4 linked regions of the Lonchura striata genome follow. The protein of the gene in region 4 purifies or fractionates together with the protein of the main gene of each other region. This does not show direct contact. Links are inferred from orthologs where the notes say so. Each region holds a gene or a part of one and is shown on either strand. Other genes may lie near its edges.

Region 1 (7,851 bases), on a different chromosome or scaffold from region 4:
TAATCTGGAAATCTGTAGCTTCCACGAATGCCACAATTTATAAAAGCTGTGGTTCTATTTGTGTCTTTGACTCATAGAACAGAAGGAATAACAAACACCTAGGCTGAAAGAGATTTAACACTGGTAGCAGCAGGGTGAAGGAAAATTGAGCTATCACTGTTTTTCTGAGTCTGAAATCATAGAGTTGCTTTCCCCCAAAGAGAGAACAGATAGTGGTGTTTTCAATAGATGGAATTGTTGATCCAGGTGAGAACTATCACCCAGGTGCTGTCATTTTACTAGTCTGGAAGAGTATAAGAAAAATAGCTTATGGCTGCAATAATTTCAGTAGTTCTTTGTAAATGATGCATGAGAAGAGGTTTAACAGGTTTTGTTCATTCATTAATACATTTATTTTGAGCAAGGATTCATCCTGAAACTCAATAATATTATATCCCTCAGCCTTGTGTCATGCCTTAGGTAGGTAAATATATTTGTTACACAGTTACAGCTGGGAAAAATTGAACCATGAAAGGATCATGACTTATTCAAGGCCAGAAAAATCCTCTGTAGTACAGCCAAGAAGAATATCTAAGTTAGACGTCAAGCTATCAATATTCTAAAGACTATCTGACATCAAAAATGGAACTGATTTCAGTAGTTAGTGCAATATGTACAAACTAGTGATAAAAAAAAATCAAGGCAGCAGATATACTGTACAAGGACTACACTCTAGTTTGCTGATTGCTCTGTTGCCTGTTTGTCTTTCTTAAAAGACAAACTTAAATTACAAACTCTTTGGGAAGAGATAACCTTTTTGTTTTGGATCATATGGTAGATAGACCAAAAAGTTCACCAGTTCATGTGTAAATGCTACAGCAAAAAAAATTGTTAAGTGTAAGGAATGTAACTAGACAATGCAGGAGTGTTGTAAGTAGCATCATCACCACTGTTTCTTAAAAATAATCTGGGAACTGTTATTACATGCTTTGGGAGAACAAGAAGATTTAAGTACAGCTCTTTCCTTATACTATGTGTCTGAAACTTAGGTCAAAACATCACCCTCAGTTTCATGGATCCAAAAAAATTTTTTAACAAAAGTTCTGTTCCATATGGACTGAATTGTGAGGGGAAAAAAAAATCTTTAAAGGTGTTTTCCATTAAAATAATAATGAAAAGCATAAGTAAAACATTAAGGAAATAAATTTATAAATAGCAGCAGACTAGACATTCCCAGTGTGTGAGCAAAAGCCCCTATAATTTTCTGTAACAGATTCCAGTTTTACTTGACATTCTCTCTCCTGAGAAGTGGTACAGGATCCTGCTTTTCTGAAGGATACCTGTTATGTTATAAGGTACACCTGTTATGTTATAAAGTAAGAATGGCATCAGAAAGATGGCAAAGCATTACTACAGAAAACAGCAATGCCGGCAGATTTCAGTAGTACCTAGGAAAGTAGTATGAAAAGATCCTCAGATTGGTTCTCATTTAGTTGCTTGACTTTTCCATTACACAGAGGAGTAAACAGGAAAGGATTTTGGCTTAAGAGCAGGTTTGTTTTCCCTTTCTCACAACGGAAAGAATGAATAGAAGATCAAGGTGGGGATAAGTCTTTCTACACAGACTAACAAGACAGGGAGAATCCAGTTTGTATACAGTATTAAAGCACTTTTTGCATGTTTAGTCAAGACCAGAAGCTATGGACTGTATTATCTCTCATATTTATTCTGTTTGTGCATGATGATGCCTAGGTTATATATTCAGGGGCACAGCAGATTCCTATCTCTAGCATGTTGAAAATTGTTGACTATTCATTACACTGTTACAAGTTTTGTGCAACAAGGAAACTCCTTGGCTTGCAAAATCTTAGTGTGTTCCCAAACAGAAGTTTCTTTGTGTACAACGGTAGATGTTCCAAATATTGCACGATGCTAATTTGAGGCCAAAGGCCTCTGTTTCATAACAAACCCTGAGTGCTGTTACTTGTGACTAAAAACTGCTAAAAGTCTCAGGTTACCTTCTAGAGCTGTGTTTTAGATAGAATGAGAAATAATCTGTGCAAGAGGTAACTGAGTATCTTTCAGAGCTCTTAAGCAAGTTTTGTACTTTTTTTCAATCAGGTCAGCTTGTTTATTTAAGTGCAAAAAAAATTTTAAGAGCAAATGAGAAAACACAGATGTCAACCAGCATGTTCAATTTCTGATTTCAAAGTGGTAGAGCCTTTATATTGTGCATAAATCTGTGTTTCATGTCAGCACTGCACTACAGAGTGTTCTAGAGTGAGGAATGGAAGACGGGTCTTGTTATCCATTATGTTTCCTTCTCTGGTCACAGCACTGTGGAGAAACACACTTTTGAAAATAAATAAAGTGACTATAGGCACTATAGGCAGAATGTAATTTATTTGAATTGAAATTCAGCCACTAGTCAAAGGATAAACAACAATGCACTTTTTAATGAAGAATAGTAAGTTTTCCACTTTGCATCTTATCCAGAAGTAATGCAAAACCTTGACAGCACTGGCCTTACTCAAAAGGCAAAGTAATGCCTTAAAAGGAATGGTGACAGCACCTGTCTCCTTTTAGCTGTTTCTTACAGTGGTGCCTCTCACTGTCCCTGAATTTTATATTTTGCCCTGTTCTTAGCTGCTTTCCATAAAACATTTCACCTCAGTGTACATGCAGATACACCACAGTGTAGAATTCCTCAGTACCCCACTGCCACTCTGACATTTTCCTTGAATTTTCTGTTTCCTTCTCCCTTGTTGGAGTCTTGACACCCTGAGAGAGATGTCCCCTAGAACTGTCATACACATTGTGTATATACCCTTACCTCCTAGATTTAATTTTATTGAAGATATGCTGCTTCTCCTCTGTATTATATTCTGACCAATTGCTATTCAAAGGAATATTCCTCTTCCATTTTAAGAGCATTTATAAAATACCTAGTCATTTTGTTCTGTTTAGATGTCTTTAAAAGCATAGGGGTTTGTGTGGTTATTTTCTTTCTTTTTTCTGTAAATGTGATTTTATGGCAGAGAGGAATATTTGAAAAACTATAATAATGCACTGATTTGCATGTAACTAATTTCATGCTGTGTCTACAAAGTGGATACTTTGTTATCTTGTTCCCATGAGTAACCTCCTCACTTTTTCAATGTGTCTTGGTCTAGGAATCTTCCAGAATACTCTCTCTAATTTACAGCAGAGGCTTTAAGTGTCAAATGCTACCTTTATGAATTAATTTACATTACAAGTTGTACATTAGCTGTACAACCATTAGTTGTAAATTGCAAGAGAATATTAGATGATGGTCTGCTTATCCCAAAGAAACTATACCTGCAAGATGACAAGGAATACAACTGACCTTCTCACAGCACTCTTCACTGAAAACCTTGCACAAGGATGGTTGTAGTGTGGCATCTTGACAGATCACCTAAATGATTCACTCAGTGTGACCTCAAGGCCTTACCTACTGATATTATTCTCTAAGTATACAGAGTACAAAAAGTGTCCTCAGGCTTTTGTCTAACGGGAAAAACCTCTTCCTATCTGCTCATCACATCCTCCAGCAAAGACCCTACATTTAGGTCAGCTTCTGATCATATAGGTAACGCAAGAAAGAATCTGCTTCTGCTAGAAGGTAATTCTCACTCAACTAGTGCTTCAGATCAAATCACTGATCCCAGGAAACTGACCATACTAATAATCATTACTGATACGCGTAGTTAATGTTACACTTGCATACCCACCAAATTCTGAAAAATACGCTTGAAATATTCAGCTAAAGTGCTTTAAAATGTGACTTCTACTTTATCTAAAAACCACACCGTCCCAAAACCAAGCTTGTATGCATAGCAATATTCAGTTTTCCTTTTCTCATCTCAGATCTAAAAGCAAAACCACCCCAATGTGGTTGAGCGAAAATCCCGACAAGTAGAAAATTTACTTGAACCTCCCCAAGTTTCTGGTCATGTGATGTCTCCTGCCTTTCTTCTCTCTCGCAGTCTCTCAGGAAACAGCCGCAGCGGTAGGTGTGCGTGGCAGGGTATAACCTTTCCTACATGTGCATGCCTGCGCACACAAGGAGACATTAACGCTTCTCCGAAGTTTGCAGACATGGAGAAGTACCTGAGGACGGGGGGAGCGGCGCCGGCCAACTGAGGGCAGCCCGGAGAAGGACGCGCGGTGGCTACGAGCGAGGATGTGCATTTGATTCCCTCCTGACTGCAGAGAGGGACGCCCAGGTGAGCTGGGGCACACTTGTGAGGCGATTCATCGGCTGTACGCAGCGAGGCACCGCGGGCGCTCCGCTCCTCCCGGCCCCTCGCCAGCTGCTGGGGAAATGCTGGCGAGAGGAGAGGCTCAGATTACGGGGGTGCGAGATGGGAGGGCTCCGAGATCCGGGAAAGGCTTCTCCGGCCTCGCACGGAGCTCAGCCCGCCCGGCCGGCCGTGCGCGCCCCGGGGCTGCCGGAGCCTCCGCCGCTCCCGCACGTGGGGAGGGCCGCGTGGGGCGGGGCCGCGCTCCCCTCTTGGCGCCTCCACCGGCTCCCTGGCTTGGCTCGGCCGCACGGACGGACTCCGTCCGGCTCCAGACCCGGCCGCAGGCCCGGCCCCAGCCCCGCGGAGCAGCGGCGGCGGCAGGCGCGGCTCCCGCCCGGGTCCCGCCCCGACACCTGCGCGGGGGCGGACGGGGCGCGGCCCCGCGGCACCTACGGGCGCGGCCCCGCCCCCGGCGCCCGCCGCCGCCAATCCGCGCCCGCCGTCCGCCCCCGCCCTACGCCGTTTGCGCAGGCGGCGCCGTTTGCGCAGCGCGCCGTCCGCCGGCGGCCCCCGGTGCTCGGGAGCCCGATGTGACCCGACAGAGAAAATGGCGGCGGCGGCGGGGGATCGCGCCTCGTCATCGGGATTATCCTCGGGCGGCGGCGTGGAGGCGGCCGCCGCCGCCGCCTGCGGGAGCCTGAAAGGCGGCGCGGTGGCCGGGAGCGTCGCCGGGAGCGGCGGGGGACTCTTGCGGGAGGCGGGCGGCGGCAGCCGAGAACAGCGCTCTGACTGGAGACGGAAGCAGCTGCGCAAAGTGCGGAGCGTGGAGCTGGACCGGCTGCCGGAGGCGCCCCTCTTCCTCGCCGCCGCCCCGGCCGCCTCGTCCTCTTCCTCCTCCTCCTCGCCGGAGCCCCCTGAGACGCTGCTGCTGCTCCACTACCTGCCCGGGCCGCCGCGCTCCAGCCCCGCCAGTCCGGCTGCCTCCCCCAGCCGCTGCGCCGAGCTCCTGGAGCCGCTGCCGGCGGGGACGGGCGCCGCCGCGGAGCGGAGGATGGAGCCGTCCCCCGCCGCGAGGTGAGGGGCGCCGGCGGCTGGAGGGGCGGCGAGGGTCGGTCCTGGAGGGCGCTGTGTGACAGCGGCGGCGTCGGGGCTGTTCTCGCGGACGGGGCTCGGGGCGGGCTCCGCCGCCCCGTTCCCCCCGGCCGTGGGAAGTGGCGGATGCGGGGGCGGCAGGAGCGGCCGCGGAGCGCAGCGCTGGGGCGCGGCGAGCAGAGCTCGCCCGCCGCCCGCCTTCCCCCGGGACACCTGGCCCGGGGCTGAGGGAGGGGCACGGCCGGGCCGGGCTGCCCGCAGCTGTCAGCGGTGCGGGGCTGCGCGGGAGCCGAGCCGCGGAGCGGAGCCGCGGGGGGCGGCCCGTGTGGCTGCGGGGTGCGTTTGTGTTCGACTTCTGCCGGAGTCCCGAAAGGCTTTGAAGTGTGAGCTCGGGGCGGCGGCGCGGCCGGGGCCGGATGTGTCAGCAGCCATTGGGGCTCGGGGCGAGCGAGCGCGGTGCGGGGCCGGGGCCGGGCTGCGGGCGGCGGCTGAGCGCCTGCCTTGCGGGCTCCCCAGGCGCTGCCGAGTGCTTTGCTGCAAAACTGAGTAATCGACTTTATTATGTTTTCATTTTCCCCTTCCCCCTCCACCCCACCCCCTGAATTCTCCGAAGTCAGATTTTAATTTGCTGCCTCGCGATAATGCAGAACTGATTTCTTTTAGTAACAAGAGGAAAGACTTTGAAGCATAAATATCCGCACTCTTTTAATAGGGGAAAGTAATTTTGTCGTGGCTTCGTCTAGGTGATAAATTTCAGTGGTTGTACTCAGCGCCCTGGTGTTTGCAGTCTGTCTTTGCCTTCTGTGTGTATTAATTGATAAGTCCATTTTCTTCTGAACTACCAGTATTTTGCCTATTTGCCTATTTATGTTTGCAAGTACTCAGGTTGAAAGCGAACTTATGCCCGTGGTGAAGGAGTTTAAGTACTTTAAAACACATTTCAGCTTTAGCATGTACTCGCTGGGTTTTACTGGTGTATGTGTGTGTAGGCACTGCAGTATGACCATTTAATTTTGGTGTGAAGATGACAATTTCACCTGGATCTCTTGTAAGGTTTTATCTGGTGCGGACTCTAGTTTAAGAACTTAGTTTAAACATCCAGGGACCTATTTTAGTGATGCCTTACAGTTTGGCTAATCATTTAAACCTCATAAAAATATAATTCCTGTTTGGACGTGACTTGTGTTTTCTTTTTAGTCGCATCTTATGTCAGTCAAACCTCAGGAATATTTTTTAAAGGTTGAATTACCATAGGAATACTGTAATAAGAACTGTTTCCTAGACTGATGACTTGTTTATATTTATTCTCAGCAATTCAGATGGATTTTGGCCTGTTCCTAGGGCAGTGTAAAAATACTTCTTATAGTGTGATTGTCCAGATAAGAAATGGCTCTGTACTTACACAAGGATTAGCAGGAAATTGTAGATGTTTTAGGGAAGGGTAATGATGTAGAAGTTCTAGTGAGTGCCTTGTCTTTTTAAAAACTATTAGCACCATCTTTGTTTTTATAAAGTCATGGTATTATAATGTACTGTATATGATAATACAGTTATATCAAGTTTCATGGCTTTCAAGAAAAAAAAATAGCATCAGAATATGTTTAAAGAGGTCGAGTCTCAAGGTGGTAGCAAGTGGAAGTCAGGCTCAGTGTTGGAGGTGCAGGAAGGTCAATGTGTGTCGCATCAGTGCTGAAATGCTGCATCCATCATTGGTAGTTGGTCCCACAGCAGCAATGACAAAGCAGCTGTGGATATATTTTTTTGCCTTTTCACATGGACAATTTTGCTTACTTTTAGGTACCTGCATTTGGCCAAGTGAGTGTATTGAGTGTGTATGCAATTTAAAATACTTGGAAGTGTTTTGTGCTATTTTACTAGGAATGTTAACAAATCTTAGAAAATACCGAATGCCAAAAGCTTTTCTCTTCAGTATTTCAGTGAGTCTACTTTGAGTTTCTTGTAAGAGCACTTGAAAATACATGACAACTTTAACAATGATTGTCCTTCAGAAATACCCATGCATGCTCATGTAGCTCAGTGTGCTGTATTACCAATAAATACATATTAGACCAAGTAGTTTAAATCAAGTTTAGATCAAGTTGTTTAAAAAATTTAAAACATCTATATGGCCTCATTTTAATATTGACTTGTTTCAGCTGGAGGAGAGAGGCTAATTGATATGCGAGTAATAATAATACTCATTAAATTTGTCTGGCCAGCTGTTGCCGAGATATTTATTAAGAGGCAAACTTAAAGGTATAATTTAATGAATGTTTTATGGGGAGGTTTTGAATGCAGTTAGTTGTACTTTACCTGTAAGGATCTACTATTAGTTAGAAGATATATTTGCTCCAAAGTCCCCCTATCAGTCTCTTTGGTATTACAGTTACTTCCTTTTAAATAGATTCTCTGTTTCTCTTTATGCTGGAAGACCTTCTTGATCCTCAAAACGAACCTGAGAAGGGAAACTGACTGCTGTTGAATTATAGATGTAAATATTACTTTTTTCCTTCAA
Region 2 (7,826 bases), on a different chromosome or scaffold from region 4:
GCCACGGTCCTGTTACTGCATGTCTATTCTCTGTAACACCCTTCCCACACAGCCAACACACTCAAAGGTGTTTTGAAAACTTAAGAGTTGTTTATAGTTTGAGAACTTACAGTCCTGGGCTACAAGCTCAGGATATAAATTTGGTGTTAGAAGAGACATACAGGAAATGGTGGGGGCAAGAAAGAGGGAAGCAACTGTCCACTACATATATCCTCTGGACACCTCATCATAATGGTCATATGCATGAAAATGGGACTGAAACAGTGAGAGGCCTGGACCAGCAAATCAGTATCCTCAGTATTCATTCTTGGTTTGCTTTCTACCACATCCTCCAAAGAACATGAGGTCAGAGAGATCACATTTCCATGCTTAAGCAAGCCCAGGTAGATCACTACAGATTTCAACATCAGTTAACAGGGAAGATGAGCTGTGGCTGGAAACATGAAACTTTTGGACCAAGTGTATCAGCCAGAACATCATCAGGCCAAAACACTCGCACTGAAAGCTCTGCAGCTTCCACAAGTGATTCTGAGGCATGCGGGGTACTCTCCGTTTCCTTGCCTTAGAGCAGGCAGGACCAATGCAATGGTCCTGAGCGAGGGCTGGGTGTCCACAGTGCGTGCAGCAGCTGAGGCTCACACAGGCAGCAGGGCACAGCTCCCTGAGCAGGGCACAGAGGTGACAGAGCTCTGCAGGCCAAGCTTTGCGAGCCCGGGAAGCGGGACCGAACCGGCGAGGGAGCGGCGCGGCGGCGGCTCTGCCGCAGCCAGACAAGGAGGAACAATTTGTCAGCCAGGGCAAATGTCCAACAATCAGGTCAAATGCCAGCAAGGGCGCCAGGGGAGAGGAAGCTATCAGATGGAGAGCCAGGAAAGGCTCCAAGGCTCAGTAGTACAGTTGGAAGAACTAAAATGGAAATGGCGAATGCCAAAATGAGTGGAATCTCTTTTCTTCAGAGAAACAATTTATATTAACTTCTGCTTAGAAGTCATTGAGGAAGTCAGTTGAGGCAGATACTTCCAAAATTAAACACTTTGTATCAAGTATTTGGACAAACCATGCCTTCTGTGGTTAATGGCTACAGAAACATTAACATTATGCATATTGTAACTGTATTTGGGGAGAGAGGGGAAAGAAAACTATTTGCCCAGTTTCAGATGGACTCTCTAGATGTTTAGGAAATTATTATTTCTATACAGTGCAGCACAACAGCCTATAAACATGCTTGCTTTCCTTCCAGATCCACATAATTCAAAGCAGACAGCACAGCAGAGCTCTCCAAGGCTGGGAAAACTGAACATAGTTATTTTCCACACTCTTTAAATTATTTCACAATTAACTTCAGATTTAAGCTTCTTTTTAAAGGTTGTTTGCATAACCAAATTTGTTGTCTTGTGTCCTTCTACACCTCCTTTTGGCCATTCCTGTCAAATATTTATCTAGAATATTGGGTGTCATGAACTAGACAAACCTGAGCTACATCCTATGCTTTCTAGCTTTAGATATGATGTGTGTGCAGCACACCTTCCTGACAGGGGAAACACAGGCAGCAGTCTCCTGGCACAAAGCCAGTTGGGAACCTTGATGCCCAGTATATTTGTGCCCAACAGGCTTCTTAGAAATCCCATTGCAAGGGATATTGGAGAGGAGCCTAAAAGTAGCACTGCTCTCCTTAAATTGGATTGATGATTACAAATGGAGAAGCAGATTTTTTTTTTCTGGTAGAAGACATATAAGTGAATTATGTTAATTAATAGGTCACTTAAAGTTATTATATGGACATAGTGAAAGAAACCGACTCTGTAATCATATGAGAATAAAAAAATACAATAGAAATGTAAAAGAATAGAAAACAAAGGGAATCAATACACTGAATAAGAGACACAGTATCTGAAGAGTACTGTCAGATCTCTTCAAGCATTGTTAGACCTTCCTCTTCAAGGGCTCACACTCGGTAACACGACCCACTGCTCCAGACCGGGTACTCTTTTACTGTGGATTTCCAGAAGGGCTGCCACGCTTCACCATTGGATAGGTGGTTCTCAGAAGGTTCAAAATCTATACTTTTTGCCATCTATCTTTCCACACCCTTGTTTTTCCTGGCATGTGACATGGAACAGGCTGCATTTTTTTAAGGTGTCAAACATGCCAAGAGCTAGAATGTATTCAGTGTTGTATTTTTAACCGTGTCTAAAACTAGAAACCAAAAGGAAGATATTTAATTCAGTGTAAACATTCCCTACAGCCCATTTTCAGCAAGAGACTATGTCCAGCGCCATGACCCGCCGTCGGGGGAACTGAGACCGTCCTCTCTCCGAGTCTGCTTTCTGCAAAATCCACTTCAGCGCTGTCGCTGCCGGCGCCTTCCTTGCCTTTACGGTGTGACCCGGCGCCTCTCTCGTGGTGAGCATCCCGCCCTCCCGCACAGCCAGGCAGCGGGAAGGAATCAAGCTCATCACCGGGGCAACTCCTCCCGCTGCCGACGGAGCGCCCGCCACCCGGGCAGCCCAGCGCCGGCGGCGCCGCAGCCCGGGGAGGTCGCGGCCGCCGCGCCCCGCCCGTGCGGGGGTGCCGGGGCCCCGCCGGCGCCCCTTCCCCTTCCCCCAGCCCGGTACCTCGTCTCCGAAGCGCACCACCTTCTGCCCGGTGTTGAGGCGCAGGCTGGGGTAGGAGGCGGGCGGCGCGGGCGGGCGGGCGGTGCCGCGGTGCGCGGCGTAGCGGGCCTGGACGTGCGGCTCCACCAGGCACTTGTCGATGATCTCGTCCTGCTGGCGGGGCGGCAGCCGCTCCCACTCGGGCCCGTAGCGCTCGCGGATCCGCTCCTTCTCCGCCATGATCTTGCGCGCCATGGGGCTCAGCGAGGAGAAGTAGCTGAACCGCTTGCGCTCCCGCTCGTCCAGCGGCCGGTTCCCGTTCATCACCGCCGTGCGGGAAGCGGCGATCGCCGCCGCCATGGAGGCCATGGCCACCCCGCCGCCGCCGGCCCCGCACTCGCACGGCGGGATTGGGGATGGGACCGGGAAGAGAACCGCCCCCTCCGCTCTCCTCCCGCAGACGCCGCCTCCCTCGCTCGCTATAAAGCCGGGCGGCCGCCGCCCCGCGCTGCCCGCCCCCCGCACGCCCAGCCCGGCGGCCCCTGCCCGCCTCCCCCGCGGCGCCGCTGCCGGGAGCCGGCCTTGCTCCCGCTGCCTCGGGCCGGCGACAGAGGGAAGCGGGGACACCGCCTCCCGGGCTTGCTCCGCTCTCGGCACCGTCGATAGCGTGGGGCTGAGCGGGCCCCGCGGCCCTCGAGTGCCCCTGCCCGCAGCTCTCGTCTCCTACAGCCCTTCCCCTGCTTTGCCGACGAGGTAAGCTGTAGTATTCCCACGCTGCCGGGCCAGGAGCACCACGAAAGGACTTGCCTCAGCTAGCAGAGGATCACCGTGCCCAAGAACCTGCCTTTCCTCACTCCCTAAAGAAGTCGTACGTGTTTCTTAACACGATAGAAGACACCGGCTGCTGTCAGAAGAGAGAGGATGTCTGGCACATGCACTTTTGTCCAACTGCACCAGTTAGGGTGCCAGGTGGTCCGAAGCCTCTGTATGAATTTGATAGTAAAGTTGCAGCCTAAGCGTAACAAATCAATGCAGTAGGCATTACATTGGTAAAATAGATGCCTAAAGGCTTAAATAATTAGGTTGTCTGGTCTCTTCCTTTGTTGTACAAATGCTCGGTTCTGGTAAAAAGTCCTTATTTTGGCAAAAGATTCACCAAGGATCCACACACAAATTCCCAAAAGATGACCAGTCTCCTGGGGTGGGGTGGTGGAAGCATACTTCCTTTCCACAAAAAAAACACTCAAAAAAACAACAAGAAAAAAAAAAATCAAGCTTACCTAAGAGAGGCAAATATGTCAGAAGATTTATACAAGACTAAATCTATTTTGACTTTTGGCCAAGGTAGTTGCAGGGGGAATGTTTATCATCTTCAAAATATATTACAAAGTAGTGCAAATATTGAGGTTCAGATTAATGGTTTTTCATTGCTTAGCCTATTTTTTTTCCTCAGTCTGCTTTCTTTAGTATCATTCTTAGTAGATAAATGACTGGGGCTGCAATACATTAATGTTCCCATTTAAGAGTTCAAATGGTATCACCAGACCAGCTGTCTAAGATGGCACAGAAGAGGATGGAAAATGATAATTAGATTTCTCCACGTACTTGGTCCTTAGGAGGTAATTACAGTTCCCCAAGTCATCACATACCAGCCCAGTTATATAATCTTGTTTTGTTTGTTAAACTTGTTTGAGAGCACTTGACTTGAGCTCACTCTCTTTCTTAGTCATCTGCATCACACCCAGAGAAAGAAGCCTTTGAAACACTTTTGCAGCCACACATACACTCATAAGAGGTGTAACACACATTACTCCAAACCCTCCCATGATCTCCCCTTAATTAATCTCTTTTGTTTGCCACCAGGAGATAGGGATGAAGTCAGTCACCGGAGTAAAAAATGAGGACAAGGAAACCCAGACAACTGCACATGGTTTGTTTGTCCAGGCAGTTTTTTTCTTCCCCACCACCCCTTCTCCACTACCTCTGGTCTAAACCTCAAAACAGAACCCCTCCTTTTTATAGTTCCCAAGCCTGTCTGGTCAAATGCCAATATGATTCCCCTTTCTCAATGAATAATACAATGAATAACAAAACTTAGAGGAGGCTTAGAAGATCACATTAGAACACAAACAAGGTATAAAGTTAGGCATAGTTTTCAGGCTGCTGTTTTTCCAGGAAAATAACAATTCCTTTCTTCCTTAATGAAACTTAAACTTCTAGTCTTTTAAACAGAAGAAGCAAACAGTGCTTATTTCTAGTGGGATAGAAGAAGGTACTTAAGAACAGAATGTTGAAAATACCTGTGTCACAAATGGACAGCATCCCAATTCTTTCAATGAAAACGTACAAACCTCCTTTATCCTTACTTGCAAAAAAAAAAAAAAAACCCCAAACAAAAACAAAACAAAAAAAACCAAAACTACTTTTGCCCTTTACAGAAATTCCGATCAAGAAAGTTCAGAATTCATATTCATTAGTACTAAACACACAGGTGGTCAAATTATGGTTTGGTTAGGGAAACCTGCTTTTCCTGAATGCTGCCAAGTCTGTCCAACAAAAAACAACTCAAGGAACACTAGCTAGTGCTCCCAATATATTTAAATCCTGTCACTCTTTTATTAACTTTTGCCAACCACCACCACCAGTGGGTACTGGGAAAGGGAGATTGTTCTGTTTCTGACATTTACTCACCAAGAGCCTAACTCCAAATAAGTAATTGGTTTGGTTTTGTTTCCTAATGATGTTTCCCTGAGCCCCATTCTTTTAAGCTGACATCTGTTCCTTCACTGCACTGCACCACATGAAATGCCTGTGTATTCTCCAGTTACTCACACATGGTAGAGTTTTAAGTGTTCTGTGCAGAGGCTTTAAAACAAACCAGTGAGAAGTAAAATAGTGTTATTTCCAAAGAAAATTACTTTTCTGTTTTTTTTATTAAATAAATTTTCACCTGTAGTATGTTCAGTTCATAAATGATCAAGTTTCTTTCTGCTCTTCAGTTGGGCCCCTGAATAACTATTTCTGTTACAGTGTGTCTTAATACAAAAAAAGCAGTTGTTCTTTTTTCTTCTTTAATATTATTTGGCACAGAAAGATTTCTTTTACTGGTGATAAATAGTAAGTAAGTTTGTTCTGTTAAGAAAACCAAAATAAAATCAAACCATTTTGTCCATAATTTGCTATTCAAAATAATTTACAAAGCAGTACCTTTTGGCCTTTTATTTGTATAAATTATACAACAACTATAGTTTTTTTTAGACAATGAGAGGAGTCTGTGTTTAGTACTTCAATCATTGTTCTCAGGGTTGGAAAAGTCTCTGATACTGATGGTAGGCTCTTGTAAGAAGGTGAAATACTGAAAGAGAAAAAAAAAAAAGTTATTTTTAATGAGTTTCATAATTTCCCTGCAAGTTAACACATTAACTTACTTAACTCAGACTTCTCCCCATCACCTTCTCCAACAAATTTGGGACCTGTGTCTAGAATCAACTTGATGCAACAGGCTTAGGGCAGAGTGGCTGGAAGCTGCTGGGCAGAGAAGGATGAGTGGGTGCTGGTTGACAGCAACTGAACATGAGCCAGCAGTGAAGCCAAGAAGACCAGTGGCATCCTGGCCTCTGTCAGCAATAGTGTGGCCAGCAGGACCAGGGCAGTGGTTGTCCCCCAGTACTTGGCAGTAGTGAGGCCACATCTCAAGTCCTGTGCCCAGTTTTAGACACTTCACTGCAAAAAGGGCAATGAGGTGCTAGAATGAGTTCAGAGAAGAGCAAGGTTGCTTGTGAAGGGTCTGGAGCACAATTCTTAGCAGAAGCAGCTGTGGGAGATGGGGTTTAGCCTGGAGAAAAGGAGACTCAGGGGTGACCTTACTGCCCTCCTACAACCACCTGAAAGGAAGGTGTAGCCACATGGGGGCTGGTCTCTTCTCTCAGGTTAACAAGGGACAAGACCAGAGGAAATTGGCTCAAGTTGTGCCAGAGAAGGTTTAGATGGCATATTAGGAAACATTTCTTCATGGGAAGGGTGAAGACATTGGAATAAGCTGCCCAGGGAAATAGTACAACCAGCATCCCTGAAGTCATCAAAAGCAAGTGAATGTAGCACTTGTGGACATGGTCTAGTGGTGAACACAGTGGTGATGGATTAGCAGCTGGACTCAATGATGTTAAAGTTTTTTCTCAGCCTTAATGATTCAATGATTCTCAGAATCTGTTGTTCACAAACAGCTCTTGCTTTTCATGACTACTCCATCATCATACAGAATGAAAACCATGTCTACAAAGAAGAGCTTTCAAAAGCAGCAGAAGTTAAAGAAAAAATGTATTGCTTTAAGTCTTCCAGCCTTATTTACCATATCCACTATTACTTATCTACCACAAACAAATTAGCCACTCAGGCAAATTAGCTTCATGCTATTATATAAAGTCCTTTGGGCTGTAGTTCTTCAGATTTATTTTTTTTTTCCCTGAGCAAAGTCAACTTTAGCATTTTCTCCACTCTGGCTCATTTCCCCACCTATTATACATCTCTACGTTGACCCAGTGATTCCCTAGATTCTACTGTACTACAAAATGGTATTGATTGAAAATAAATTGTTTGGCAAGGTTATTTTTAACATGAATGACTTCCCTGATCTGGTTTGACATGGATTCCCATAAGTTTCAACAGTTCAGCTGAGGGAAGCAGAAACACATGAAGTATCTTAAGCTGACTTTACTCCCAAGAAGGAAGCTTCTCTTTGGTAAAGCTACATCTTAAACCAAAACAATCCAGTCCCACAAAAACAAAACCAGCATGAACAGAGGATATCTTAAGCTGACTTTACTCCCAAGAAGGAAGCTTCTCTTTGGTAAAGCTACATCTTAAAAAAAACAAAACAATCCAGTCCCACAAAAACAAAACCAGCATGAACAGAGGATTAATAAAGAAGAGTATATAATTGAGAGAATTACAGAAAAAGTTGTGGGAACCATAAATATTTCATATTTCCAAGACAAGCATGTCAAAATATTTGTAGAGACTACTTTTAATAAAATTCACAACTTGCTACACCTGTAGTTTAAAAATGTCACTCCTTAATGAATACTGAATTTTACTCATTTACAAGTAGATTTTTAGTCTAAGTTTCACAAAGATGTCCTTGAATCTTATTAGCCTTCTTCATTTAGGAAGGGATTTTATAGTCTAGTGAAATTCACCAGGCTCAGAACCCCTGATAATAAAGTTAAGTAACAC
Region 3 (7,117 bases), on a different chromosome or scaffold from region 4:
CACCCGAGACCCCCCGAGACCCCCAACCACCCCGAGACCCTCATCAGCTGCTTGGACCTGGGGAGGGGGCGTCCTGAGACCCCCGCCCACCCCCGAGACCCCCATCAGCTGCTTGGACCTGGGGAGGGGGCGTCCTGAGACCCCCGCCCACCCAACCCCTCCATGAGCAGCTTCGACCTGGGGAGGGGGCGTCCTGAGACCCCCGAGCCCCCCAACCACCCCGAGACCCTCATCAGCCGCTTGGACCTGGGGAGGGGGCGTCCTAAGACCCCCGCCCACCGCCCCGACCCCGGCCCGAGCCCACCCACCCAAATCGGGCACCTGAAGTCCTCCAGCTGCCGCGCGATCTCCGGCTCCTGGAAGCTCTGGATGTCCTGCAGGAAGCGGCGCTGCGCCTCCTCGGGCAGCAGCTCCGGCCGCGTCCGCTCTGCAGACCCCTCCCCAAATTCACTGCGGGGGTCCCGGGGGGGCAGAGACCCCTCCCCAATTTGAGTAAAGGGATCCCAGGGGGCAGAGACCCCTCCCCGATTTGAGCACGGATAGGCAGCAACGGAGAAACCCTCCCCATTTTGAGTGGGGGGGTCCCATGGGGACAGAGACCCCTCCCCAAATTCACTGCGGGGGTCCCAGGGGGGCAGAGACCCCTCCCCAGTTTGAGCAGTGGGGTCCCAGGGGGCAGAGACCCCTCCCCGATTTGAGCAGGGGGGTTTTGGGGGGAGGCAGCGGGGGAGAGACCCCTCCCCACTTTTACAGGGGGGTTTTGGGGGGAGGCAGCAGGGGAGAGACCCCTCCCCGCTTTGAGCAAGGGGCTTTGGGTCCCATGGGGGGGATAAGTGGGGTGGGGGTCCCACAGGGGGGTAATTGGGGTGCCCTCGAAGCCCCCCACCCAAGCTCGGGGAGTTTCTGGAAGTTTGCAGGAGGGGGTTTGGGGGTCTCTGAAAATGAGGAGGGGGTCGGGGGTCTCACTCACCCAGCTCAAACTGGACGTGGTGTGGGACGGGCACCCGCAGGAGCTGTCAGTGATGGGGGGGGGGGGGTGTCAGGATTTTGGGGATCACTCCTGGGGTGGGGAGGGGGTCCGGGGTGCATTCTGGGGAGGGGTCTCACCCCTGTCTTGTCCAGGAACAAGTGACAGAACTCCAGGAATTGCTTCCTGCCCTCCTTGGGGTTCATCCTCTTCATCATGTCCACGTGCAGGTAGCAGAGCTGGGGTGGGGGGTGGGCAAACGGGCTGACCCCCCCCCAAAATAAACCCCCCAAGCCCCCTCCCCAAATTACACCCCCAAACTTCCCCCTCCCCTGTTTTACCTCAGCTCCAGCCCCTGCCGGCAGGGAGGGGGGAACAGAGACACGAAGTTACTCCGAGGCCGCAGCCCCCCACCCTCCACTGCCCCCCCCGGGGGAAATTTTGCCCCCCAAAATTTTGGGGTGGGGGTCTCGAAGCCCCCTCCCCATCTCACCACGGGGCAGGAGTCGAACTGGAGCACGACATGCTGCAGGAAGGCCGCGAGGGCCAGCGGGTGCTGCCGCAGCTCCTCCAGGCTCTGGAAGTGGCTGCTCTGCTCCTCGGGGGTCTGGGCGGGGGGCGCGGGGTCAGGTTTGGGATTTGGGGAGGGGGGCGCGGCCGAGGGGATCCCCCCACCCGGGACCCCTCCCCAAAACTCACGGGCTCGATGTCGTTCTCGAAGTCCTCGTCCTCGGCGCCGATGATGGCGGCGGCCGGGGGGCCGGGGAGGGGCTGGGGGGCAGCGGGGGTTGGGGGGCTCGGGGGTCCCCCAGACTGCCCGGACACCCCCAGGACCCCCCCAGGCACCCCAAGACCCCTGAGACCCTCCTCCCATACTGAGAGCCCCCGATACCCAGGAGCCCCCAGACCCCCAGACTAAGAGTCCAGGATGCCACAAACCCCCGAGACCCCCAGACTGAGACCCCCCAACACCCAGGACCCCCCAGAGCCCCAGACTGAGACCCCCCCGACACCCAGGACCCCCCCCAGACCCCCGAGACCCCCAGACTGAGACCCCCCCGACACCCAGGACCCCCCCAGAGCCCCAGACTGAGACCCCCCCGACACCCAGGACCCCCCAGAGCCCCAGACTGAGACCCCCCCCGATACCCAGGACCCCCAGACCCCCGAGACCCCCAGACTGAGACCCCCCAACACCCAGGACCCCCCAGAGCCCCAGACTGAGACCCCCCCGACACCCAGGACCCCCCCAGACCCCCGAGACCCCCAGACTGAGACCCCCCCGACACCCAGGACCCCTCCAGACCCCCGAGACCCCCAGACTGAGACCCCTCCAGACCCCCGAGACCCCCAGATTGAGACTCCAGGACGCCAGAAACCCCCAGACCGCCGAGAACCCCAGGCCCCTCCAAACCTCCAGCACCCCCAGACCCCTGAGACCCCCCCTCCATTCCAAGACCCCCACACACCGAGATCCCCCCCCGAGACCCCCAGTACCCCCCAGACCCCCGCGATCTCGGCCCCCAGGGCTCTCCAAGACCCCTGAGCCCCCCAGAACCGGGGGTCCGCGAGGCCCTGCGCCCCCCGGGACCCCCCTCGCCCGCGGGATTTCGGGGGGGGGTCTCCGGACCCCCAGGGTGGGGGGCACCGCTCACCCCATTAAATCCCTCCTCGGGGTCCATCGTGCTCGCGGGGGGGGTTCGTCCTGTCACGAGTTTGGGGAGGTGGTCTCAGATTTTGGGGGGGGTCCCAGGGGTCGGGGGGGGTTTCTCCGCACCCCCCTCTGCTTTGGGGAGGGGTCACGGGTGGGGAGGGGGCGGCGCCGCGCCCCGAGCGGCTCCGGTGCCGTTCGAGGCGGGGGGGCACCAGGGCGGACCCCCCCAAAAAACCCCATTTGGGGTGGGGGACACGCGTGGGAACCCGGGGGGCGACCCCGGGGGGCGAAGGGGAACTTGGGGGGCGTTTGGGGGGGGTCGGGGAGGGCCCAGGAGACCCCCGCCCACCCCCCCCCCCCCCGTACCTGTTTCCGCGCCGGAGAAACGGTCCAGGAAATGGGGGGGGGGGACCGGGGGGGGCGGGGCCGGCGATTTTGGGGTGGATTCGGGTGGGTTTGGGGCGGAAAAGGGCGTTCCCGGGGATTTGGGTTAGTTTCGGGTATTTTTGGGGCGGGTCTGGCCGGAAAGAGGCGTTCTCGGGTGATTTTGGGGGGGGTTTGGGTGTTTTGGGGGCGGAAAAAGGCGTTCCCGGGGCGGGCTCAGGGTTTGGGGTGGATTCGGGTGATTTTGGGGGGGTTTGGGTGTTTTTGGGGCGGAAAAAGGCGTTCCCGGGGCGGGCTCAGGGTTTGGGGTGGATTCGGGTGATTTTGGGGGGGTTTGGGTGTTTTTGGGGCGGAAAAAGGCGTTCCCGGGGCGGGCTCAGGGTTTGGGGTGGATTCGGGTGATTTTGGGGGGGTTTGGGTGTTTTTGGGGCGGAAAAAGGCGTTCCCGGGGCGGGGTCGGGGGTTTGGGGTGGTTTCGTGTGTTTTTTGGGGGGGTTCGGGTATTTTTGGGTAGGAAAAAGGCGTTCCCGGGCGTCGCAGGAGCTTCCTGCAGGAAGTGGCGTGGGACCCACGGGTGGGACCCACGGATCCCCCCCGGGGTGTGGGACCCACGGGATGGGACCCACAGAACCCCATGGGGTGGGACCCATGGGGTGGGACCCACGGAACCCCCACGGGTGGAACCCCATGGGGTGGGACCCACGGGTGGGACCCACAGAACCCCATGGGGTGGGACCCACGGAACCCTCGCGGGGTGTGACCCACAGAGCCACCCCAACGAGACCCCCACTCCAGTGCCAGGAACGCCCGTGACTCGGGGATCCTCTGAGCCCCCTGACCCAAATCTTGGCACCCCTGAGACCCCCCAGAGCCGGACTGTGACATCCCGGTGCTGAGACCCCTGGACTCCTGAGCCCCCAGACCCAAATCCCGAGAGCCCAACACGAGATCCTCCATTCCCCAAGCCCCCCGCGCACCCCGTCCCCTCCTCTGGGGTCCCGGGGGATTTTGGGGCGGGGGTCCCTGGGGATTTTGGGGCGGGTTCCCTGGGGATTTTGGAGGGGGATTTTGGGGCGGGGGTCCCTGGGGACTTTGGGGCGGGCCGCCCCCACTTCCCTCCCCCCGGGGCACTGGGGCGAATCTCCTGCCGGGCCTGGGCGCACGCAGCTGATGGCGGCTGCTCCCCAAATCCGGGGGGCTCCCCCAAAACGGGGGGTCCCGAGCCCCCTCCTCACCCTCAGCCTCCTCCTCCTCCTCCCAGGTATCGCTGGGGGGGATGGGGGGGCTGGGGGCTTCGGGGATCTCGGGGTTTGAGTTTGGATCTGGGGGGGGGTTTGAGGGGTTCTGGGGTGTCGGGGTTTGGGGCTGAGGCTCTTGGGGGTCCCAGGGTTTGGGTCTGGGGGTTTCAGGAGTTCCAGGGTCTCATTTCCGGGGTCTTGGGGGTCTTGAGGATCTCATCTCTGGTTTTTGGGGTGTTTCAGGACTTCCGGGGTCTCAGGGTTTGGGTCTGGGGATTTTGGGGGGTCCCACCTGTGCCCACCCCCCTTAAGGGCGGGTCCCCTGTTACCCACGGCCATGGGTCCCTCCTGAACCCCTTAGGGGGTCTCAGGGGGACCCCAAAACCAAAAACAACCTCCGGGTGCTTCCCCCCAGCCACCTGGGCTGGTGTCACCCCTGGGACCCCCCCCCCAGCTTCCGTCCCCAGCCAGGGCTGAAACTGGGGGGGCAGAACTGAAATTTGGGGGGGCAGAACTGAAATTTGGGGGGGCAGAGCTGGAACTGGGGGGGCAGAGCTGAAATTGAGAGGACAGAGCTGAAATTGGGGGGGCAGAGCTGGAACTGGGGGGGCAGAGCTGAAATTGAGAGGACAGAGATGAAATTGAGAGGACAGAGCTGAAATTGGGGGGGAAGAGCTGGAACTGGGGGGGCAGAGCAGGAATTGGGGGGCAGCAGGGCTGGGGTTCCCCCCGGTGCCACCTGCAGGGTCCCCGTGTAAGACCCCCACCCACGGGGGGTGCAGGGATCCCCCAAAACGGGGTCAGCGCCCCTCCGTGATCCCCCATTTGTCCCCCCCAGGTTCCAAGTGCCACAACAGCTCCTTCCCCGCTTCTCCCGCCCCACGCCCGGAGACCCCCACCCACGGGGGTCCACACTGACCTCCCCAAACGGGGTCAGCGCCCCTCAGCGACCCCCCCCACCAATTTGTCCCCCCAGGTTCCAAGTGCCACAACCTCTCCTTCCTCGCCTCTCCCACCCCACGCCCGGAGACCCCCACCCACGGGGGGGTGCAGGGATCCCCCAAAACGGGGTCAGCGCCCCTCCGTGACCCCCCCAATTTGTCCCCCCAGGTTCCAAGTGCCACAACCTCTCCTTCCTCGCCTCTCCCACCTCACTCCCGGAGACCCCCGCGCTGACGGTGCCCACCCGGCCCGGGGGCTTCTCCTGCGGCTCCGGGGGAGGGGTCCACGTCCAGCCCGTGCCCACCTCCGTGACCGCCGAGCTCGGGGAGTCCCTGAGCCTGGAGTGCCGCTTCGAGCCGCCGGACGCCCGCGTCACCTGGCTGCAGGTGTGTCCCGGCGGCCGCACCTTTGGGTGCCCCTGGCCCCAGGAGCTGCCGGCCCAGGGCGGGGAGCGCTGGGTGGGCCAGGGGGACTCGGGGGTCTCCAGGCTGAGCTTCGCGCACCTGGAGCACAACCACAGCGGGCTCTACTTCTGCCGGGTGAGCTTCAGGAATGCATCCGCGCAGTCCTGCGGCACCTTCGTCAGGGTCCTCGGTGAGTGGGGGGCTCCCGGGGGGGTTTGGGGTGGGGGTCTCCCGGGGGGCTCTTGGGGCGAGAGTTCCTGGGGATTTTGGGGGGATTTTGGGGAGGTTTTGGGGCGGAGGTCCCTGGGGATTTTGGGGTGGGTTTTGGGGCGGAGGTCCCTGGGGATTTTGGGGTGGGTTTTGGGGCGGAGGTCCCTTGGGGATTTTGGGGCGGGGTCTCCCGGAGGGGGTTTTGGGGAGGTTTTCGGGGCGGCTGAGCCGGGCTGCTCCGGCAGAGCCCGTGCCCGTGCCGTTCCTGGACCTGGCAGACGCCACCAAGAACAGGATCATGACGGCGCAGGGAGTGCTGCTGCTGCTGTGTGCTGCGGGGCCGGGGCTGCTGCTGCTCTTCAGGGTGAGGAGGGGGCTCCGGGGGGACCCCCGCCCCTAATTCGGGGTTCTGGTGTCCCCAATCCCGGCCCTGGTGTCCCCAATCCCAGTCCTGGTATCCCTGGTCCCGATCCTGCTGTCCCTGATGTTTCAGTCCTGACAACCCCAATTCCTCCTGGTTCCCCAAAATCCCCTTCCAGATGCCCCTAAATACCCCCTGCCACCCTTAATTCCCCCCCTAAGACCCCCAGTTTCCCATTCAATTCCTCCCCAATCCCCCCTGTACCCCTTTTTTGCCCCCATCACCCCAAATCCCCCCCTCAAACCCCTCTGTACCCCTTTTTCCCCCAAATCCCCCCTCAAACCCCCTGTACCCCTTTTTTTGCCCCCATCACCCCAAATCCCCATTTTTTCCCCCAAATCCCCCCCTCAAACCCCCCTGTACCCCTTTTTTCCCCCTCCCAGAAGCGCTGGGCCAATGAGCGGCTCCTCCAGCCCAAGAAAATCTCCCTGGAGGAGGAAAACCTTTATGAGGTGACCTGGGGGGGTGGGCAGTGACACCCTGAACCCCCCAAAAAAGGGTCTGGGGTGTGTTTGGGGGGGGTCCTTCACCCCAAACCAAACCCCTGACCCCAATTTCCCTCCCCAGGGGCTGAACCTGGATGAGTGCTCCATGTACGAGGACATTTCCCGGGGGGTTCAGCCCACCTACCAGGACGTGGGTACCCCCCCTGCCGACGGGCTCCTGGAGAAGCCTTAAAAGCCCCCCAAAAATGAGGGGGGGTCCCAAAGACCCCTCCCCAAACCCCTGCGTGCCCCCCGACCCCACGAAGGCTTTGCTTTGGTATCTCAAGGCGGCGCTGATGCCAAGCCCCTCCCCAAAATAAAACTGGAGCTGATGAATCGCTAATAAACAATTAATTAATCTTTAATAAGTTTTGAATAAATAATGAGGGTGAGACCACTGGTTTCCTCCCAT
Region 4 (7,861 bases):
GGCATTTAATAGAAAAAACAGTTTTGGCATAAGAACATGTTGTAGTAATTTAATTATTTCAGGATCAAGTTGCATCATTATGCTCTCTTCTGTTTACCCTTTGAAACTAAAAGGGAACGGGGTTTTATTTCACTTTTATTTCTAGCACAATTTACTAGAGCTCTTCCAAGTATTTCTAAATTCAGAAAAGAGAAAGAAAACTAATTATCTCAAAGTGCACAGAAAGATTTTAATATTAAATGTCTTACTATACAACTGAAATATTCTATTCCATTTCTGTTCTATTGTTTTATAATAGAACAGAATTCTATTCTGTAAATTCCATTTACAAACTCAAAGTTCTGTAATTATTTTGAGTTTGAACATAAACTGACCTTCACTGGTCTTGCTTGCTGCCTCTTAGTCAAACTACATTTCTCTGATAGGGTTTTAAATTCAATTTGCTCTGAACATACCACAAAGTAAACTTATTACCATTTTATTTTCTTGCCACTGCTCACTTAAAGACAACAAAATGCCATGTACAAGCGCCGTGTTGGTGTGAAATAAACTAAATAATTCAGCTTTCAACTGACACACAACCTGACAGAATTGTGTAGAAAAATAAATTACTTGCAAGAGACAATAATGGAACATAGGAAAGGTTTTCAGAAGTGCAGGAGGAGCTTGTGCCCTATTTGTGGAACACAGGAAGGTGGGTCACACTAGGATTAAGGGATGAGCTTGTGCAAGTCACTGCAGTTTGGAGCTGTTGTGCCCAAGAGCCAGCCAGGGTCTCTGAGAGCTGCAGCCTCCTGGATACATATTCCCAGGTATGGATGCGAGATAAAATTTCAATTCAGGCAATAAATCACCTTCGCATGAGGAGAAAAGGAGGAACCCACACTTGGAGAGGGAACACAGACCACAGAGTGCTCTGATGGCTTTGCTGCAGGATTTTAAAGTGTGCTTGCCGCACCCATGGAGGCAGAGGATAGGCTTGGAGACACGCAGTTCTTGGAAGGCCAGTGTTCCTCTGAGTCTCAAGGCCTTCCAGCCAGGATTCTCTCAGCAGGAACACAGAGCTGCTTTCTCCTGCTGCAGTAGTCCTGCAACAGGGAAGCCTGACCAAGCCTTGGAGGTGCCTGTGCCAGACACTTGAGCAGCACTGATCTGGGGCTTGTAGGTGTCCTTTCTCCAACCACTGCTAGAGGAGGCCAGCAAATTTTTGGAGCTTCTGCTCCCCCTCTGCATATCAAAGGCTTTGGATTTCCCTATCTGTGTGGACAAGCAGTTCTCTCTTCTGTGAAAACCCTATCCAGAGCACAGGAATTCTCCCTTCATCAGGGCTGTCATAACAGCAACATGCACAGCAGCCATGGGCCCAGCTGCAAACTACCACCCATGGACAACACCAGTGAGCTAATTGCTACAGCAAGGGAGAAGGAGGAGGCTAAAGGACTTGCTTTTAAGGTGGCCACTTCCTTTAGGACTTCAGACAGGTGACTTGCCCTTCAGGATTCTTTATCTCTGAGGCAGATCAAAAACTAAATTCATTAAAGCCTGCATTTGGCCTAAATGTGGTGTAGACTATGCAGAGAGGAAGACTGATGTCCTACATGGAAGAAATAGATCTCCTTTTGGTTTGAACTCTGCTGGGTTTACTTTTTTTTTTTTTTTTTTATTGGCACCATTGGGAGAGTTCCCATTTGCTTAATTAGGCCACATATGAGGAAACAGAAAAGACACTTGGCATATTTGGCTTGACCTGCTAATTTCCATTGTTCATTAATCTGAACTGCCTGGGTTTAGATAAAAGTTTGTGACATTAGGAGCTGGATAGCCAAGTCAGCTGGGAAGGATAAGTTGTTGGGGATTTTTGGGTTGGTTTTGTTTTTTCTACAGACACAAACCCACGTTTTTATTGTGGTAGACAGATGCTTTACACTGCTCAGTTTATAGCCCTAGAACAAAGACAACATTGACATACCATTATGTTTGGTTGGCAAGCATTTCTAGATACTACTCCCAGTTTCTGACAAGATTTTTAAAAGCAAATTATAATGCAATTAACTAATAGGTAAGTTATGGAAGCACTCTTAGTAAATCATGTCAGTGCTGGGGTGCTTGAAGGAAGCTCTCAGTTTCCTGGCACAGAAACTACATTTACTCTTCAGTGAAGTGTATAGCTTGACCAAAAATATAACCCATGGTATATTCCCTAAGGGAAAAAAAAATTTATCAGCTACTGCTTCCAATTATTTCTTCTCAGTTCTTGTTGTTTTCCTGCTAGCTGTAAACACATTTGAAAGACTGTCTGACTTAAGTAGAACTGATTGTAAAAGGTATCCCTGCAATAAAAATATCTGCAAGAGATATTTGGGGTATTTTAGCTTTTCATGGCAGTCAATAAACCATTTTTTCCCCTGTATGGGCCCTTACCTTGGCAAAATAAAATAATTGAGGGGAGGAGGAGAAAGGGAGGGGCTTTGATTTATGACCAAACTAATAGTTTCAGAATACATTGCTTTGATACATAAACAAAGTCCCCAAATGTTGTGTGAGAAGAGCTGCACTTCTGCAGCAGTTTCTCACCCTTGACACAAACCTGGCCATCATGAAAGTCAGGATGAAGACTGTTTTGAATAGCACACGCAAGACAAGAAAAGGTAGCAAGTTCACACTACAGACACCTTCAGAAGATGTGGTTTACAGAGAGAGTTAGACTGAGGATCCTCATTGCTGTCAGTAGAGTTTGTTGGCTACCTTGATTAAAATCAGTTTTGAATCCATTACAAGATACCTATTCACCAAACTGGGAAAAGTCAGCTCCTGAAGTACTTTCATTAACATCATGCCCAAACAGTACCCACCTGAGAGAGCAGGACCTGTGGCCACAGACCCAAATTCAATCAGTGCTCTCCCTTGGGCAAGGAGAAGGAAAAGGAAGCACACACACTGTGATCAAAACACCCGATAGTGTTTTGGAAACAAAGGCAAAAATTCCCAATGGATCATTAAAAAAAAGCAACAGTAGGCCACAAGGATCTCTATTAAACAGTAATAAAAAACAATTATGAAAAGAACCTATGGCCTAGAAATAACTGATTTCTGATTCAAGCCTAACCAACCCGATGTTCAAACCACAGATAATTTCCCTATAAACTTCAGGAAAATGAACTTCTGTCTCAGCAACAGAGGTGTGAAGGCAAACTGGTCAGCCACAGAATAAACTATCATGGGCCTCTGACTGTGCACACTATCAGTCATCCATCAAGAACTGGTACTAAGCTGTAAAAACCATTTACCACATTGAATCAAACGTCTGCTTGGTAAGAAAAAGTCACCTTCCTTGCAATGCTGGCAGAACAAGCCAGTCCCAGGGAGCTGCTTACTGAGAGGAGCTAAGCAGCACCCGTCCTCTACAGGTACCAGAGCAGTCCATAAAAAGGTCAGCCTAAAGTTAGCTGGCAATGCAAATGTTGTCAAATGAGGGAATGGGGAGAAGCACTGCAGATCATGCATCAGAAGCAGCACAGCATCAGTTTCTCTTACAGTGTCCAGGTTAAACAGACCATCCCCAAGTGCCAGCTGAAGGCTGCTGAGCCTGTTCACAAGGGAGCCCTGAGAGACACCAGAGGCTGTTTGTCACCAACCCTCTCCATGCACACATTCCCTTTGCAGTGATGACCTCACCCCGGGGCCCCTGAAGCCAGTTCCACATGTTGAACCTCCTCAGGTGGGCAAGGATGGAAATGATGAAGTAGCATCCTTCCTCCAGTGCATCAACCACAGGTATCTGCACCCTGGGATGAGGGCAGTCCTTGCCATTAAGCTCACCACAGACAAACTCAGGAAATGCTGTGATTCCAACCCTTCCAGCCCCTGCCTTGTGCTGCCTGTGAGCCCCTCAGCTTTCTCCAGCCCCAACGGCACAGCTCAGTGCCTGCTAGGAGCAGAGCTCATTTGCTCCACTGGAATAAATAGGCTCACAGACAAACAGGGTACTTTGATACCACTGCTCCCAACCACCTTTAACTGAATCAATTAGGTTGTAAGACCTGCAGTCATCAAATCCTGCCTATGACCAAACTCCTGGATGTCAGCCAGACCATGGCACTGAGTGCCTCAGCCAGCCTTTCCTTAAACACCTCCAGGGACAGTGACCCCACATCTCCCCAAGCAGCCTGTTCCAATGTCTGATCACCCCTGCTGTGAAGAAATCCTTCCTGATGTCCAGCACAGTGCAGTTTGAGACTACATCCTCTCATCCCATCTCTAGTTCCCAGGCAGGGGACGCCAATTCCCACCTGGCTGCAGCTTTCTGTCAGGAGTTTTACAGAGTAGCATAGCCACCCCTGAGCCTCCTTTTCTTCAGGCTAAACACCCCCAGCTGCTCCTCACAGCACTTGTGCTCCAGACCCCTCACCAGCTTCACTGCCCTTCCCTGGACCCTTCTGGTCCTTCCGAGCTGAGGGGCCCAGAACCACGCACTGGACCGGAAGGGAGAGACGAACCGCCCACAGACAAACCGGGCATCGCGATTCAGGGCCCCACCACAGCCGCCTTTCCCGCAGTAGATGCGGAGGGACCGTGCCCAGCATCGATAACGCCTCACGGAGCAGGCACCGATGAGGCCGCAAGGAGGCGAGCAGCCTCCCTTAAGAGAACACCAACAGGCCCAAAGCCAAGCCCACAGCCCAGCCCCGCCGCTCCCCAACTGCCGCGGCGTAAATAGCACCGGCACCTTTTATAGCGGCCCTTCCCGGCAGCCCCCGCGCGCGGCCGCGCCGATTGGCCGCGGGGCTGGCAGCCGCGCGCGGCCGGGCGGGGCGGCTCGGGAGCGCGCCGCGCGCGGGGCCGGGAGCGCGCACGGCCCGCCCCGCCCCGCCCGTTTCCGCCGCCGCCGCCGCTCGCGCTCGGGCCTGTGGAGCAGGAGGCGGCGGGAGCCGGACCAGCGCAGGCCGCAGGTACCGGGGGGCTCTCTGCCGACCGCGGGGCGCGGGGTGGGGGGGCGGATCGCCGGCCTCTCTTCTCCCCTTCCCCCTTCCCGCCGCCGTCGCCGGGTGGGGCCCGCCCGCCCCCGCCGGGAGTCCGCGGCCTGCGGGCGGGGGCGGCCGGGCCCGGCCGGGCCTCTCGCCGCCACCGCCGCGCACAAAAGGGGAGGGCTGGCGGGGGTGGCCCCTCCGCGAGTTCCTGGGGCCGGTAACGGGGCCCTTTCCGGGCCGCGGGAGCGGGGGAGGGGAGGAAGGGGCGCGGCCCCGGGGCTCTCCCGCGGGAGCCGCCCGCGCCCCGCCCGGGACCCGGTACCGCCGCCGGGCCGTGGGCGGTGTGGCGGGGGCGGTGCTGCCCCCCCGGCCCCGCGGGGTGACACGGGCGGCACCGGGGGTGCCCCGGTGAGTGGCAGCTTGTTGTGTGACGTCAGCGGCGCCGGGGCCGCGCCCCGCCCGCACCGGGGGTCGCCGTCCCGGGCCCCCCGCGGCACACGGGGCCGTGCCGGGCTGCCTCTGCAAGGGCTGCCGGGGGGTTGTGCGCCGCTGAACTTTTATCTCGGGGAGGAATCGGCCTTTGGAGCGAAACTGGAAAGTTTGGGCGGTGTTTTTTGGTGGGGCGGCTGCAGCAGGCCGGGGAAGCGCCGGGGGTGGTTTGACACCACCGGAGCCCCGACAGCCTCACCTGGGCTGAGAGCTGCCCGGTGTTAAAATACACCCCGCATAAACCTTTTCTGCCACGACACCCATTCTTTCGAGCGCGAGAGGAACCTCGAGACTACTGTTTGAGTTTTAAAAATAAGACCCAAAAACTTCTCCCAGAGGTCTGGAGAGTTAGTTATTAGTGATACTCAGGATGAAGTATTGTTCCCAGTCCAGTGATACCACAACTACTTTGATATCCCTTTAAGAGGTGTCTGGAACGGGGGTTTGTTTGTTTTTAGTTGCTGCCTCATATCCAGCTTTTGTTTCTCTCCTCGTACAGTTCACCTGTTTGTTGCAGGGAATTCTTCACCAGCAGTGGTTCCCACCCGCCCTTTCTCTGTGTGATACAGTATTTGGAGAAAATTAAACACTAAGACTTCCCTAGGTAATGTTAAGTTTGTTGTTGCCTTCTCCCCCCACCCCCAGAGCTTAGCCTAAGTGTCAGTTCTGCCATCTGTGTGAATTTGAAATGGTAAACTTCTTCCAGAACCAGACTTCTGTTGTCTTCTTTTTATCTCAGAAATTTCAAAAGTTAATGGTACGTGTCCTAAATGTTTGTGAATCAAAGTATTAGGTTTTCGCATGGCTTTATTTGGGGATTTTTTTTTCCAGTATGGAAATATTAAGTCTTTCCCTCCCTGAAAAGATTGTTTGTGAAAATATTTGCTTGCTGTTGAAGACTCTTTTGATACATGTGTGCTTTCTTCCTGCCCTGTTCTGGTCTTATCCAGGTCTCCAGCCACACAACAACGGCATTTCTCGTTCAAATATACACAGGCTAATTCTGGTACTGATTTGGACCAAGGCTGCATGTTTAAAAAAAGAAAAATGTTAGCCTTATTTCACTTTAATTAGTTCACTGGAATGTTTAACAGCACATTCAGCATAAATGTTTGACATAAATTTGTATGATTTTTACAATAATCCATAAATTTGGATGATTTGTATCATTTAACACTAGAATACATGTGTTTGTCAAAAATAATTTTTCAAGACATGAATGCACCATCACATAAAGGGCAAAATAAATTCAGTCACAGCAGAACTGAGCTGAGCAGCTCTCATGTTATCCCTGCTCACCAAGCTCAGGCTCTGGCCAAGTGCCACAGCAGCCAAGCGCCAGAGGCGGGGAGTTCTCTGAGCCAGGAATTGACAGTAAAAACATCCTAAATGATCTTAACTGCCACCAGGATGTAGGACTGGGGATGGCTCTTCAGATAAGCAAATTGCAAATGAAAACGTTTAGGAGAGGTCTTAGAAGTATCATCATCTTTCCTCATTTTCCGATAGTAACTCTTGGGTTTCTGGTTTTTAGACTTAATCTTTTTCTCTCAATGTATTTAAGTTGCCCAGAATCCTGTGGGCTCTTCCTCACATCTTGTCTGCTCTGTGCTAGATATTTCTGACCTTGGCTACCTTTTCATTAGCCAAGTGTGCCTTCTCAGTGTCTCTACCATTTTACTCCCTGCTGCTTATGGTATCATCAGGTTCTTTCCAAGTCTCCACTCAAACCACCATCTTTTACCTTTAGTACTAAATCTCATCTCTCTCTCTTGTTCTGCTCTGTTGCCTTACAATGTGTTTTTAAACGTAGTTTGAACTAACGTGGAGGAGAAGTGTAATGGGGTGAATTTAAGGAAGTTAGCATGTTGATAAAGTACAGCAAGTGTGCCCTTGAAATCTTAAATTAATCCATTATGAGCTTGTCCTAGTAAAACATATAATAAGGGTGAAACTCTGTAATAGAGAACAGTGCAATGCAAAATAAATGTGCCAAATGACAGCAGACCTTCATTCCATTCCCAGGGCACAGCTATGCACCTGCACACACCTGAATGCATGATGAAAATCCTCTGCTCCTTGCCTTTTGGTATAATTCCTCTCCTGCTATAAATAGTGGGTAGCTAAATAGAAAGAGGTGGTTGCTTATTACTTTTTGGTAAATCTCAAAAATAAGCAAAAATATCCCAAAATACTATCTGTGGTACACTGGTTAAGTTACTGTTACTTTTCCACTGCTGTTCAGTGTCTGGGTGCCTTCTGGTCTTGGTGGGATCTGTTACCACTCATTCTGAACAGTGAATAAAGTAGCAAAGGCTAATTGGAGTTGGTAGAGTGACACTGCCCTGTCCATCCTCTCTTCTGTCCTTTTCCTATCACCATATTTTCATTTGGGAAGGACATTT

The links.
Region 1: the proteins of RHOA (region 4) and MAP3K1 purify together in Homo sapiens (affinity purification with western blotting; 4 studies listed by BioGRID). This does not show direct contact. The link is inferred for Lonchura striata from reciprocal best matches to the Homo sapiens genes RHOA and MAP3K1.
Region 2: the proteins of RHOA (region 4) and C3H1orf198 purify together in Homo sapiens (co-immunoprecipitation; 3 studies listed by BioGRID and IntAct, with this or other methods). This does not show direct contact. The link is inferred for Lonchura striata from reciprocal best matches to the Homo sapiens genes RHOA and C1orf198.
Region 3: the proteins of RHOA (region 4) and rho guanine nucleotide exchange factor 1 purify together in Homo sapiens (affinity purification with mass spectrometry; 3 studies listed by BioGRID and IntAct, counting the BioPlex papers as one, with this or other methods). This does not show direct contact. The link is inferred for Lonchura striata from reciprocal best matches to the Homo sapiens genes RHOA and ARHGEF1.

Annotation. Positions count from the first base shown.
Region 1 is NC_134642.1:31,200,072-31,207,922, reverse strand, and holds the start of MAP3K1 (mitogen-activated protein kinase kinase kinase 1), read left to right. Parts: upstream 1-4,836; 5' UTR 4,837-4,851; coding exon 4,852-5,318; intron 5,319-5,691; exon of another isoform or gene 5,692-5,719; intron 5,720-7,851. UniProt on the Homo sapiens protein: Component of a protein kinase signal transduction cascade. Activates the ERK and JNK kinase pathways by phosphorylation of MAP2K1 and MAP2K4. May phosphorylate the MAPK8/JNK1 kinase.
Region 2 is NC_134605.1:42,773,555-42,781,380, reverse strand, and holds the start of C3H1orf198 (uncharacterized protein C1orf198 homolog), read right to left. Parts: upstream 3,016-7,826; 5' UTR 2,964-3,015; coding exon 2,616-2,963; intron 1-2,615. Other genes in the region: TTC13 (tetratricopeptide repeat protein 13), read right to left, coding at 5,826-5,949.
Region 3 is NC_134639.1:340,577-347,693, forward strand, and holds the start of rho guanine nucleotide exchange factor 1, read right to left. Parts: upstream 3,010-7,117; 5' UTR 2,988-3,009; intron 2,673-2,987; 5' UTR 2,650-2,672; coding exon 2,623-2,649; intron 1,739-2,622; coding exon 1,667-1,738; intron 1,575-1,666; coding exon 1,461-1,574; intron 1,207-1,460; coding exon 1,108-1,206; intron 1,014-1,107; coding exon 971-1,013; intron 428-970; coding exon 322-427; intron 1-321. Other genes in the region: B-cell antigen receptor complex-associated protein alpha chain-like, read left to right, coding at 3,654-3,658, 4,067-4,266, 5,082-5,144, 5,414-5,779, 6,045-6,163, 6,604-6,672, 6,788-6,898. UniProt on the Homo sapiens protein: Seems to play a role in the regulation of RhoA GTPase by guanine nucleotide-binding alpha-12 (GNA12) and alpha-13 (GNA13) subunits. Acts as a GTPase-activating protein (GAP) for GNA12 and GNA13, and as guanine nucleotide exchange factor (GEF) for RhoA GTPase.
Region 4 is NC_134614.1:10,401,863-10,409,723, forward strand, and holds the start of RHOA (transforming protein RhoA), read left to right. Parts: upstream 1-4,847; 5' UTR 4,848-4,949; intron 4,950-5,955; 5' UTR 5,956-6,060; intron 6,061-7,861. UniProt on the Homo sapiens protein: Small GTPase which cycles between an active GTP-bound and an inactive GDP-bound state.